Linked DNA regions of Schizosaccharomyces pombe. The gene in region 2 interacts genetically with the main gene of each other region. Each region holds a gene or a part of one and is shown on either strand. Other genes may lie near its edges. The genes, in order: snt1 and hif2.

The links.
Region 1: of hif2 (region 2) and snt1, changing one enhances a phenotype caused by changing the other (phenotypic enhancement), as found in Schizosaccharomyces pombe (one study listed by BioGRID).

The regions. Positions count from the first base shown.
Region 1 is NC_003424.3:5,054,510-5,059,717, reverse strand, and holds snt1 (Set3 complex SANT/Myb domain subunit Snt1), read right to left. Parts: upstream 3,098-5,208; 5' UTR 3,011-3,097; coding exon 1,025-3,010; 3' UTR 665-1,024; downstream 1-664. Other genes in the region: DNA-binding transcription factor Hsf1, read right to left, coding at 1-243; SPOM_SPAC22E12.18 (uncharacterized protein), read right to left, coding at 3,488-4,461, 4,501-4,537; glo3 (ARF GTPase-activating protein), read left to right, coding at 5,045-5,110, 5,164-5,208.
Region 2 is NC_003421.2:192,127-197,028, forward strand, and holds hif2 (Set3 complex subunit Hif2), read left to right. Parts: upstream 1-2,237; 5' UTR 2,238-2,425; coding exon 2,426-2,477; intron 2,478-2,567; coding exon 2,568-3,334; intron 3,335-3,372; coding exon 3,373-3,792; intron 3,793-3,844; coding exon 3,845-4,300; 3' UTR 4,301-4,402; downstream 4,403-4,902. Other genes in the region: protein pdh1, read right to left, coding at 320-1,000; sec6 (exocyst complex subunit Exo3), read right to left, coding at 4,683-4,902.

The DNA.
Region 1 (5,208 bases), on a different chromosome or scaffold from region 2:
AACCAAAAACGAATCACCCCGGTCGCTCCATCGAATTAAGGAATCTGTCGACGAGTCGTTCACCATATTGTACAGTTTATTACTAAACTGTGTGATTTTCCTATTTTGTGAAGAACCTGAGCCCGACATCCCTACGGACATCGAATTTTGTGTCCCATTCATCTCCGGTGAATTTGCGCTGCTGGACTCCATTCCCTGATTCGTTCCGCCATTGCTTGAAATTGTCGATGCAGTCTGAATCATTAAAAATCAATTTATTATGGGTGCCGTTAATTTAACAAAAATATATATGTCCGTTACTGATTTAAAGGAATTCTCAGTACCTTCTTCTCAACCACCAGGGAAGAATATGCAGTTCGTATTTCACAAGGTTCAATCAAGATATTCTTAAATAATGTATACTTTCTCAGTAGCTTTAACAAGCTCTCACCGAAATTTGAAGCGGGTGTCGTTGGTTGATGTCAAGTTATATTTTGCAATAATCCACTACCGAATGATTACAATACACCATATATCATTCACCGGGGTATATCGCTAATTTGTTTAGTGAGGTCATTTAGCCACTCGGTATTTATTTTTGGTGTCGGTTTTGCATGCAACAAAAAATGCAAAAAATTATTAAATCGAATAAATTGTTATGTGTCAATTACAGATTAACTTACTAACGCTACTAATTAAGCGTTTCCGTCGCCGAGACTAATAACTAGATTTCACATGAAGATTTATTGATTGAAAAAATTCGTCTCTTGATAGATTTCGTAAACGATCGGCAGTCAAGTTATTATAGAGTTTTTACTTTTTTAATAAAAACTCACCATCATAACCCGACACATATAGAACTCTCACATTAAAAGTAATAGAAAATATATACAAAAGAAAAAAAAAAAAGGATTAAAGTAGAATTCGAGATAAGTCGAGTAAGGCATCACGTAAGGAGGTACCAATTTGCGAATTAGAAAACAAAACCCCTTCATATAACAACAAATGGTAAATAACGCCATTAAATAACACTAAACGTCACAACTCATACAATTTTATCGTTTTTGGACTGGCGTTCAACAATGTCTTCGCCCAATGCTGCTAATGTATGAATTGATGCTCGTGGAAATGATTGACTATTCGGAAATGCGTTTATGTCTGATGTCGTATGAGATGAATGTGTTGTATGCTCTTGATCCTCGACTGATAACTCGTCTATGCGTTGACTTTTTGCATCTTCAGACACCATTTTCAGTATCTTTGATATTGACGGTGTAATGCAATCACTAGCTCGACGGCGATTTGGAGAATCAATTTCGGTCAATTGGAAAGTAGGGCGTGGCCGAGGACCAGTGGAGGCTCTTCTTGGAGTAAGAGGCATTTTCATTGGATTCATACCTTGGGCCAACGAAAATATTAACGCTTCTTCTTTTTCATCCCAACCAGGCAAGTGCCCTTGGTGAGCAGACTCATCAACGGCGGATATGGAACGACCAACGGCAGACAGGTTCGCTAGAGCCGAAGCTGCATCCTCCTCCTTCCTAGTTGAAATACTGTTACGCTTGGAAGAAGAATGTTGTTCAAGCTTTGGTTCATAGTAATCCTCCTGCTTTATGGTATCCTGGCTAATATCCATAGGCTCGTCCTGTGTCGGCGTTTTCTCATGAACGGATTCTTTGATTTGCAGTAATGTGTTATTCCCTTCATTTTCAGCTGTATCATAAACGTCAACATCATGTTTGAAACCAGACACAGTCTCGCTCTTATCGGTCATATCAATAGACATAGGGTCAGGCTCTTGAGCTCCTTTTTCAATTTCATAAGCACTATTCCCTTCAACCAAAGACTTTATTTTTTCATCCATTTGTTCATCAGCATTGTGATTATTAACATTCTCATTCGCAGATTCAACATTTTCAACAGAGGGCGTATTATCCCAAGTATTCATATTATCAGCAGTGACGGAAGCTTCTTGAAATTGATTATTGATATTCTCTTCCGTTTTATTAATATCCGCAGCTTCAATATCAACCATAAGAGCAGAACCCTTGGACTTTTTCTTTCCACCTCTTTGAGAAGGAAGGAGCTTTTTTCGCCGACGACCCTTAGTTTTTGTTGCAGATGCTACCAAAGCTCGATAGTCAGTTGTCCTTTTTGTCAGATAATAATGTAATACACATTCTTTAGAGTTTTTTCCTGGCACTGCCTCTGCGATTTTACCAAATTTTTTTCCATGTAAAATAAATTGCTGAACGAAAATGGAATGCTGTTCTTCATTCCATATGTCAGGCATACTTTGAAAGTGATAGAATTTAGGACAATCTGTTACTAACCGGCTCTGATCATTAAAGTATTGACTTTTCACTTCTTCTTCTGAAAGTATCATAGGAGGAATAGTAGCAATTCGAGAGGCCTCAGATACATTGCTTGCTTCTTTTTCTTGCTGCTCGAGCTTTGCTAAAATCTCCAAAAACTCTTCTTCGGAACGAACTATATCACCAGCTGTAAAGTTGCTCATCACTTTACGTGTACTTCGTTTGATAAACGGTTCCGATTTTTTAGCATTCTTAGTTTTGTCTATTTCAGTCAATCTGTCAACCCGAGCAATATTTTCCTCCCACCGACCTAACACTTGTTTCCAATGGCTCTGTAAACGCTTTATTTTCTTATTAAGTACATGGCGTCTTTTTCTCATTACGCCGACAATCGTCTGCTTATCACGTTGAAACTTTTCTCTATTGAGATTGTAAAAGCTATAATCCTCAACATTTTTGAAAAGCTGATTTTGGGTCAAGGCATAGATATTTTGAAGGTATTTTTCTTGAAGAGCTTTTGTATCTTGGCTTTCTTGCAAGATGTCAGTGAGCTTTTCAGAATTGGTAGGAGATTGTGTAATAGAAGTATTTGTATCGGAATCCTCGTTGTTCATGTCACCAACGGGCGGTTCAGAAGGAAGAAGTCCCAAAGTGTATCGAGACATGTTTCGTAAAACATCTGGATGTTCTGCCACCTCCGGGGTAGTCAAATCCATCGTTCAAAAATGAACTTGATTAAAAGAAACTGTAAAAAGAATCTTTAATAATCAAACTTCAGGTCCCGCTTAGTATGCCGATATGTGTGGTGGAAAGGTAAACCATTTAGGGTATGCCATCTTTAAATGTCAGAGGAGGCACTACAGCTTATTTCGAAGTGAATATCATAATTTGCATGTTTAATATATCATTTTAAAAATTATTTATTTAACAATGGTTTAGTATAATTTTTCTCTAAACGTTGAATGTACAGGTTTATGCCCAATTATGACTAGTAGCCGACCAGAAAAGCAAGTTCGAGGCAGCATTTCAATTGATAGATACTTCTTAATACACAAGACCAACTAGTTACAAAAAACTCTGGTTAAACTAAGATGTTTTAACTACACTTTCCAAGGAATCCCCTTCATTTCCAAAATACAAACAATAAAATTAACCGCTAAACCTAATAACTCAAAAAAATATTGAAATGGTCCTTATTTTTGAGATACTATTTCCCAATTCTCCAGCCATTTAGAGAACCAAGGAGTAAAGGAATCTTCTTGAGCCGAAGAGATACAAATTTTGCAAAGGTTTCTAGCAGAACGATGAAAATTATCAAGTTCATTTTCAAAATTTTCATCGTCCTCTTGTATTTGTGCCACAATGTCATCTATTGAATCAGAAGTCTGCTTGGCAGCATTAAAAAGTTCACCCAAAAAAGTGTTAGGGTATTCATTTTTTATTCTTCTCTTCTTTATAGAAAGAAATAAAATTTTGCAAGCATTAAGCTTTTGTAGTAACGAATTGGCGAGTTGAATCTGTTCTTCTGACCGAAAAACCTCTTCCGAATGTGCTTCTTTTGAGTCATCTTCACTTTCACTACCAAAATCATCCCAATTTGAATCGTCTCCCTCCTTATAATCTTCTAAGTCACTACGAGCATCTTCAAGCATTGAGACAAAATTATCCCATTCTTCAAGCATATAACCAACTATTCCTTCCGACCCCAATTTTTCTATTTTTTCACAAGACTCCCACAAAATTCCAGTATCTATTAATCTACCTCTTGTCTTCCAATCTTCTGATATATACCCTAACGGTTTAGGAGATACGCTTCGTAACAGTGCTTCAATTCCAAATAAGACGCGTTCGGCATACATTTTGAGTCGATTTTGAATAATTTCTCCATACTTTTCTGCATTGAATACTTGAACAGCTGCAATTAAAGGAGTAATCGTTGTAGCCATATCATTAGCATATTTTTCAAGTGCATCTCTAGTGATGGGCGGTTTTGCAGCTACAGAAAGTTTTGTAGTATATTGATGAATTAAAGTGGCAACATCTTTAAGCATAGAAAGAGGGCTTTCAACTAATTCGGAAGGTAATTCAATGGGCTTCATATCATCCAGACATTTTCGAGCAGTGACTACAATCTTTAAAACATTATTCAAGGATTTCACTATTTCATCTACAAATTAGCTAAAATTGATGATAAAATCAATCGTACCTTCCTCTGCTTGATTCTTTACCATAGTGTCAGACATTAAGAAAGTATATTGGCAAAAAGCAACTTGCTCACTCTACCTAAGCTTTAAGTGGATACTCTGTAAGATTATATATTTTAGTCAATGAAAATCTAACTCCTTTCTTGTATACACATACTAAATTCTGTGTAAGATTATATTTTTTTTTTTCAACTCAGGAGCAAGAGTTTTAAGAAATCAAACAAGTAGTTTTTCAAAATACTAATTTATTAACTATTAATGGCTAAACAAAGGTTTTTTTTAAAAATTCTCTAAGTAATAAAACGTACGAGCTTAACAGTAAAAAAAATAAGAAAAAGTTAAAACGATCTATGGCAAATGATAGGTTCTGTAATAAACAATCCTTCAGGAAGCAATTTTTTACAATGATAAATGAGTAACTAACTTTAACAACGCACTGATAAACCATGCACTTGTGTTTCTCTACAACGCTAACTTCGCAGTTCTTCCTTCCCACCACTACCCACCACATTTACCTTCCACAGTGTTGCAGTCGAAATTGCAAAAATGACTGCTACTAAGGAAGAATCTCAAAAATTGCTTACATCTTTACGCTCTCAACGGGATAATAAGGTTGGCTAAATCATTCAAGACTTTCTTTTTCAAAAATTGTGCTAATTGTGTAGGTTTGCTTTGATTGCGGTGCCAAGAATCCAACATGGAGCTCAACA
Region 2 (4,902 bases):
TTGCTTTATTTAATCATTAAAAGATGCCGTAAAGGATTTTGTGCCTTGCGGAATTGTCAAGAATTGTAGTATTACTCGTAAACGGTCGTGATTGTTATTTAACAGTAGTAACTGCCAAAAAAGACTTAGTTTTTTATTTTTAATAAAAGCCTTCAATATTATTTAATAAATAGACGCAAAATCATAAGCAAACTGATTTTAAATTCATTTGCGCATGCAGTCAATAATTATAAAAGCAAAGCAATACACGGGTCTTAGATAGCTAGTCAAAACAATAGCAATGCGTAAAAAAGTATTGATTTTGATTAAAACGGAAAGTTCATATAGGAAGCTGAGTATGACTTTCTAAATGGAAAAGTTCTTGAACCACAGGATGAACAAACAACACATATAGCTCAGAGATGCAAGTGCCTGAGACAGCTAAGCAGAAATAAGTCCATGGAAAACTTTGAAAAACATAAAATAAGTGAATTGAAAGGAACAAATAAATAAGGTATTTTGACAATGGACAGAGAAATTTGTTTGAAGATTCTTCCTTTTTACACGAATACAATTGGTACCAAGCAGTTAAGATCCCTGCTTGAATTGCGGTCGTACTTTGGATAATTGCGACCAACAAGTAATGTGAATCTGTAATTTTGTATGCAATAAAGCAAGGTATCAAGACAGCAATGTTTGGAATCACTGTTAAAAACTGACAGAAAAGCAAGTACTCCTTATGACCCCATGAACGTTCAATTTCAACGCCATACACCGAGAGAATGAGAATACTTGAAAGTAGCGTAAAAACATTAGCATCAACAAAACTTGTGGTAATTATTGTCCATGGAAACAAGAACAAAGCATTTGGAACCAAATGAAAACATAAAAGAAAGAAAGTTACAATAGAACTCCTACCAAACACTTTGATGTAGATGCTGATTCCAAATGATATTGCAGAAAACAATACCTCTAGGATAAGAAGCCTTTTCGTAACCGAAAACTTGGAGAAATGATTCATTGATAAATTTTAGGTAAAAAAAAATAGTAAAGTTCTCGTTACCGTAAAAATCATCGACGTCAACAATTTTGGTCTCAAAGTAAACAATACCAGGATACCTCTAAGTAAATGGTGCAATCCGAAATAAAATTTCTAGCTGTTTGCATCTAAAAAATAGAAACTCTTACGAAAACTGAATTGGCCAAAGATCGCTTCACTGGAATATAAGCATAATAAGAAATTGCCTATATGGATTAATACAGTTAGTAAATTAGAAAATGAGAAGTTGAGATAAGACACTGCACCTGGTTTTTTAATGCCTTCTCAATAATCTCATTTACAGGGACATTCGGTAGCGGGTAAGATGATAGGTAGGTCATGGCTCGACCAGATTATAAACATCCAGAAAATTACATAACTTTGTAGCTTGCCGATTCTAATAGAAGATAGAAAAGAAGTTTAAACTCGCTGATATATTTGTTTGAGCACAACCTGGTTTATCAAGTAACTATGATCGGTTCGGTTGAGGAGATAAACGCATTCAAAGTTAGAGTAAATAGTAAAGGGAGAAATTAATTTTTATTATATTTGGCAGTTTTTTGAGGGAAACCCTGATGAGAAATTGCTGCATATCGCTCTGCTGGGTTAAAACAAAGTGTTGATTCTCTTAATCGAATAATGTCTTAAATTATTAGTCATAATTCAAATCATCTTTTCCTTTCTTAGAATATAGTGAATGCATTGTTTAGAGCGGTCTTATATCAGAAAGAAGCATTCGCTTGACCTTGAAACATTTGTAATAGAAAATCACATTTCCTTAGCATGATAAGCGGACCCTGAATGTTCAAATTATTCAAATAAAATAGCAGTATATTTTAGAAATAAAAAAACCAAATAAGGCTCCTACCACTCTTGTATGGAATGTTGAGTACAGAAATAGCATACGAATTCATGAAAGTCAGAAAATACAATCTGGCTGCCAACTCCTTAACACAAACTTCTAAAAGTGAATTTTGATTGAAATTAAAAGTCGAAGAGAACTATTAGCATTGCCGTTTTAAGTTGTTAAGAGACCGACTTCAAAGAGGGAAAACTTTACTGAAATTCCTCGGATACAAAAAGTGGGCACTCGATTATTTTTATTTTGATCAAGCGCTGTTTAAATAGTAACCTACGTGCAAATAATAGAGCAGGAAGATTTAATCCACAGTTTCAGCCATCGCACGTATCTAGTTAAATTTCGGTAACTAATACTTCCACAACTACTAAAAACCGTCTCAATGGGAATTCGTCGACAATCCTTCAAGTTAAATCCGTATTGACAGGAAAAGAAAGAAAATAGAAGACTGTTGAGGTTTTAAGTGAAACTCGTTGACAGACCTTAAGATTTGACTTTAATTTACGTGGGTAGCTTGAACCATTATAGATTTAGAAATTGTGGAGGAAATGGATACGAATCAAGTTAATTATATAATCTGGAGATATTTGAAAGAATGCGGTATGTTAAATAGTTGGTTTTTGTGAATCATAGTCGCTTCATCTCTCCTTTTTTTCGGTTTCGTTAACATTATCGTGTTTTTTGTTGTAGGTTATTCGCATACTAAATTTGCATTTGAAAGGGAAACAGGCATCCAAAATTTAGACAAACAATGGGGAAGTACTTGCCAGGTTGGCGCTTTAGTCGAAATTCTGCAGAAGGGTTTACAGTACGTGGAGCTCGAAAAGCACTACGTTGATAATCACTCCTCAAACGAAGAAGCTAGCAAAACATCTATAGATGGAGAAAGTCTTGTAAATGAAAATCCTTGTAAACTCCCTTTCTATCTCACCGTACCTCATATATGCGAAACGACACTGACGAAAGCTGACTCTACCAATGGGTTTTGCGAACACAATAATTCTAATGATCACCAACTTAAAATTTTACAAGATAAGGGGTCTGGGTCGCCTTCATCTCCGGTCATGCCATTTAAGGATAAAATTGAGAAAAGGGATATTGACATTACTATGGCCGATGAATCAAACGTAGAGAAGGATCCGGCTCGACCTATAGCCGTGTACAACAGTTCACCTGTCACGGAAATAACAGAAATAAAACAGGTTACTTTTACTGGCGGCGAAGACATAAAGTCGGATTTTTTCAAAGTAATTCCTACCAAACACCCCGTTACCTGTGCAGATTGGCGTCCACTATTACAAGAAAATTACCATGTTTACGAATTTTCTATTGGTATGACAAACGCTACTCTGGCTTCAGTTAGCATTTGTGAAGAGCAAAATGATTTCAAGGCAAAAACAGATTATTGTCTGCAATCTTCTTTCGATAACCAAGATATCACTGGCGTTGCTTGGAATGTAAGGTTCAAATTTTTTTTTGAAATACTAACTTTTAGAATTCTGGTTCTTTTTTAGCCTACGCATTCTTCAGCGGTGTGATTGAAATTTACGATAGTCATGGTTCTCAAATCCTTAGCTTTCATAACAACAAAGGCCCTGTTTTATCTTTGAAATGGAGCGGTACTGATACATATCTAGCTGCTGGTTCGGCGGATGGAACTATTACACTCTTTGATCAACTGAAGCAAACACAATATTCAATTGACACACTTGCATCTTCCGTTTTAGACATTGAATGGATTAGCTTTGATGAATTTGTAACTTCGGATGTGGAAGGCTCCTTGCGAGTATACAAGGTCGATGGCAAAGCTCCGGTTTCTACAGTTTCTCATGCGCATGATAATTCTATTGTTGCTTTACGATACAATCTACGTATCTCTCTTCTATTAACTGCTTCTAGTGATACCACTGTTAAGGTAAATTTCTTTTGTCATTCTAATAATTACTGTTTTCTAACGTTTTGTATAGCTTTGGTCTAGAGGTGATGCTGGTGCTTTTGAATGTTTACATGTTTTTTCTTTTAGCTCACCGGTTAATTGTATTGACTGGAATTTGCGGGAAGGGACACCAATTCTAGCGGTTGCTTCAAACAGTATCGTTTCTATGTATAATGCTATTTCCCTTCAGCAACTTGCTGTATTCATGAGGCATACAGCTCCTGTTAGTGCTTTGAGCTTCAGTCATAACGGTCGCTATCTTGCTACTGGTGATACTTCTGGGGGAGTATGTATATGGTCATGCAAAACAGCCAAACTATTTAAGGAACTGGGTTCCGATAACTCAGAGTTAATTGCTGTTACTAATGTACTTCCAGAGGAGCAAGTTAATTTCTTACGGTGGAGTTTTGATGATAAAGATTTACTTATCGGTAAACAAAAGAAGGAGATTATTTGTTGTTGTGATTTTTTACATGATTCTCTGTAATTGAACCTAGTTGATCTTGTATATATCCATTTATTACAGTAGGTTCGTTGGGTCATCATCTATAGTCAAATATATACATATATATAATCATATACGAATTTTTATTTGAAGTTACTAAACTGGTAGCTAATATTTGTCAAAACATAATATGAACAGGAAACAATATGGACCGCGAAATTGTCAAGGTCCAATATCTATTTATCACAAATACCTTAATTATAGCGACGCTTTCGATTGCCATCTTGAAAGTTAGTAACAGGTATAATAGATAGCGTGAACGCAAATTAGTGGCTTCGTCTAACATAAATCAAAAGGAACATTACTATAGGTAAAGATAAACCGTACGTAGATCATTAAAATTCAGCAACGACTACTTTGGATCTCATAAAATTGAACTTCCAGAAAGAGACGTGACTTGGGAAAATACTGTCGGTTGTTGCGAAGTGTCTATTTGGAGTGAATCATTTTCATGGCGTACAATATCAATCATCTTCTTTATTATTGATTTTTCCAGGTCGGTGCGGTTTTGAAGGACTGCTTCAACCAAGGACAAAGGTGCATCCCAGTATGCTTCTTTCAGCAAATGAAAGTATTCGGAGACA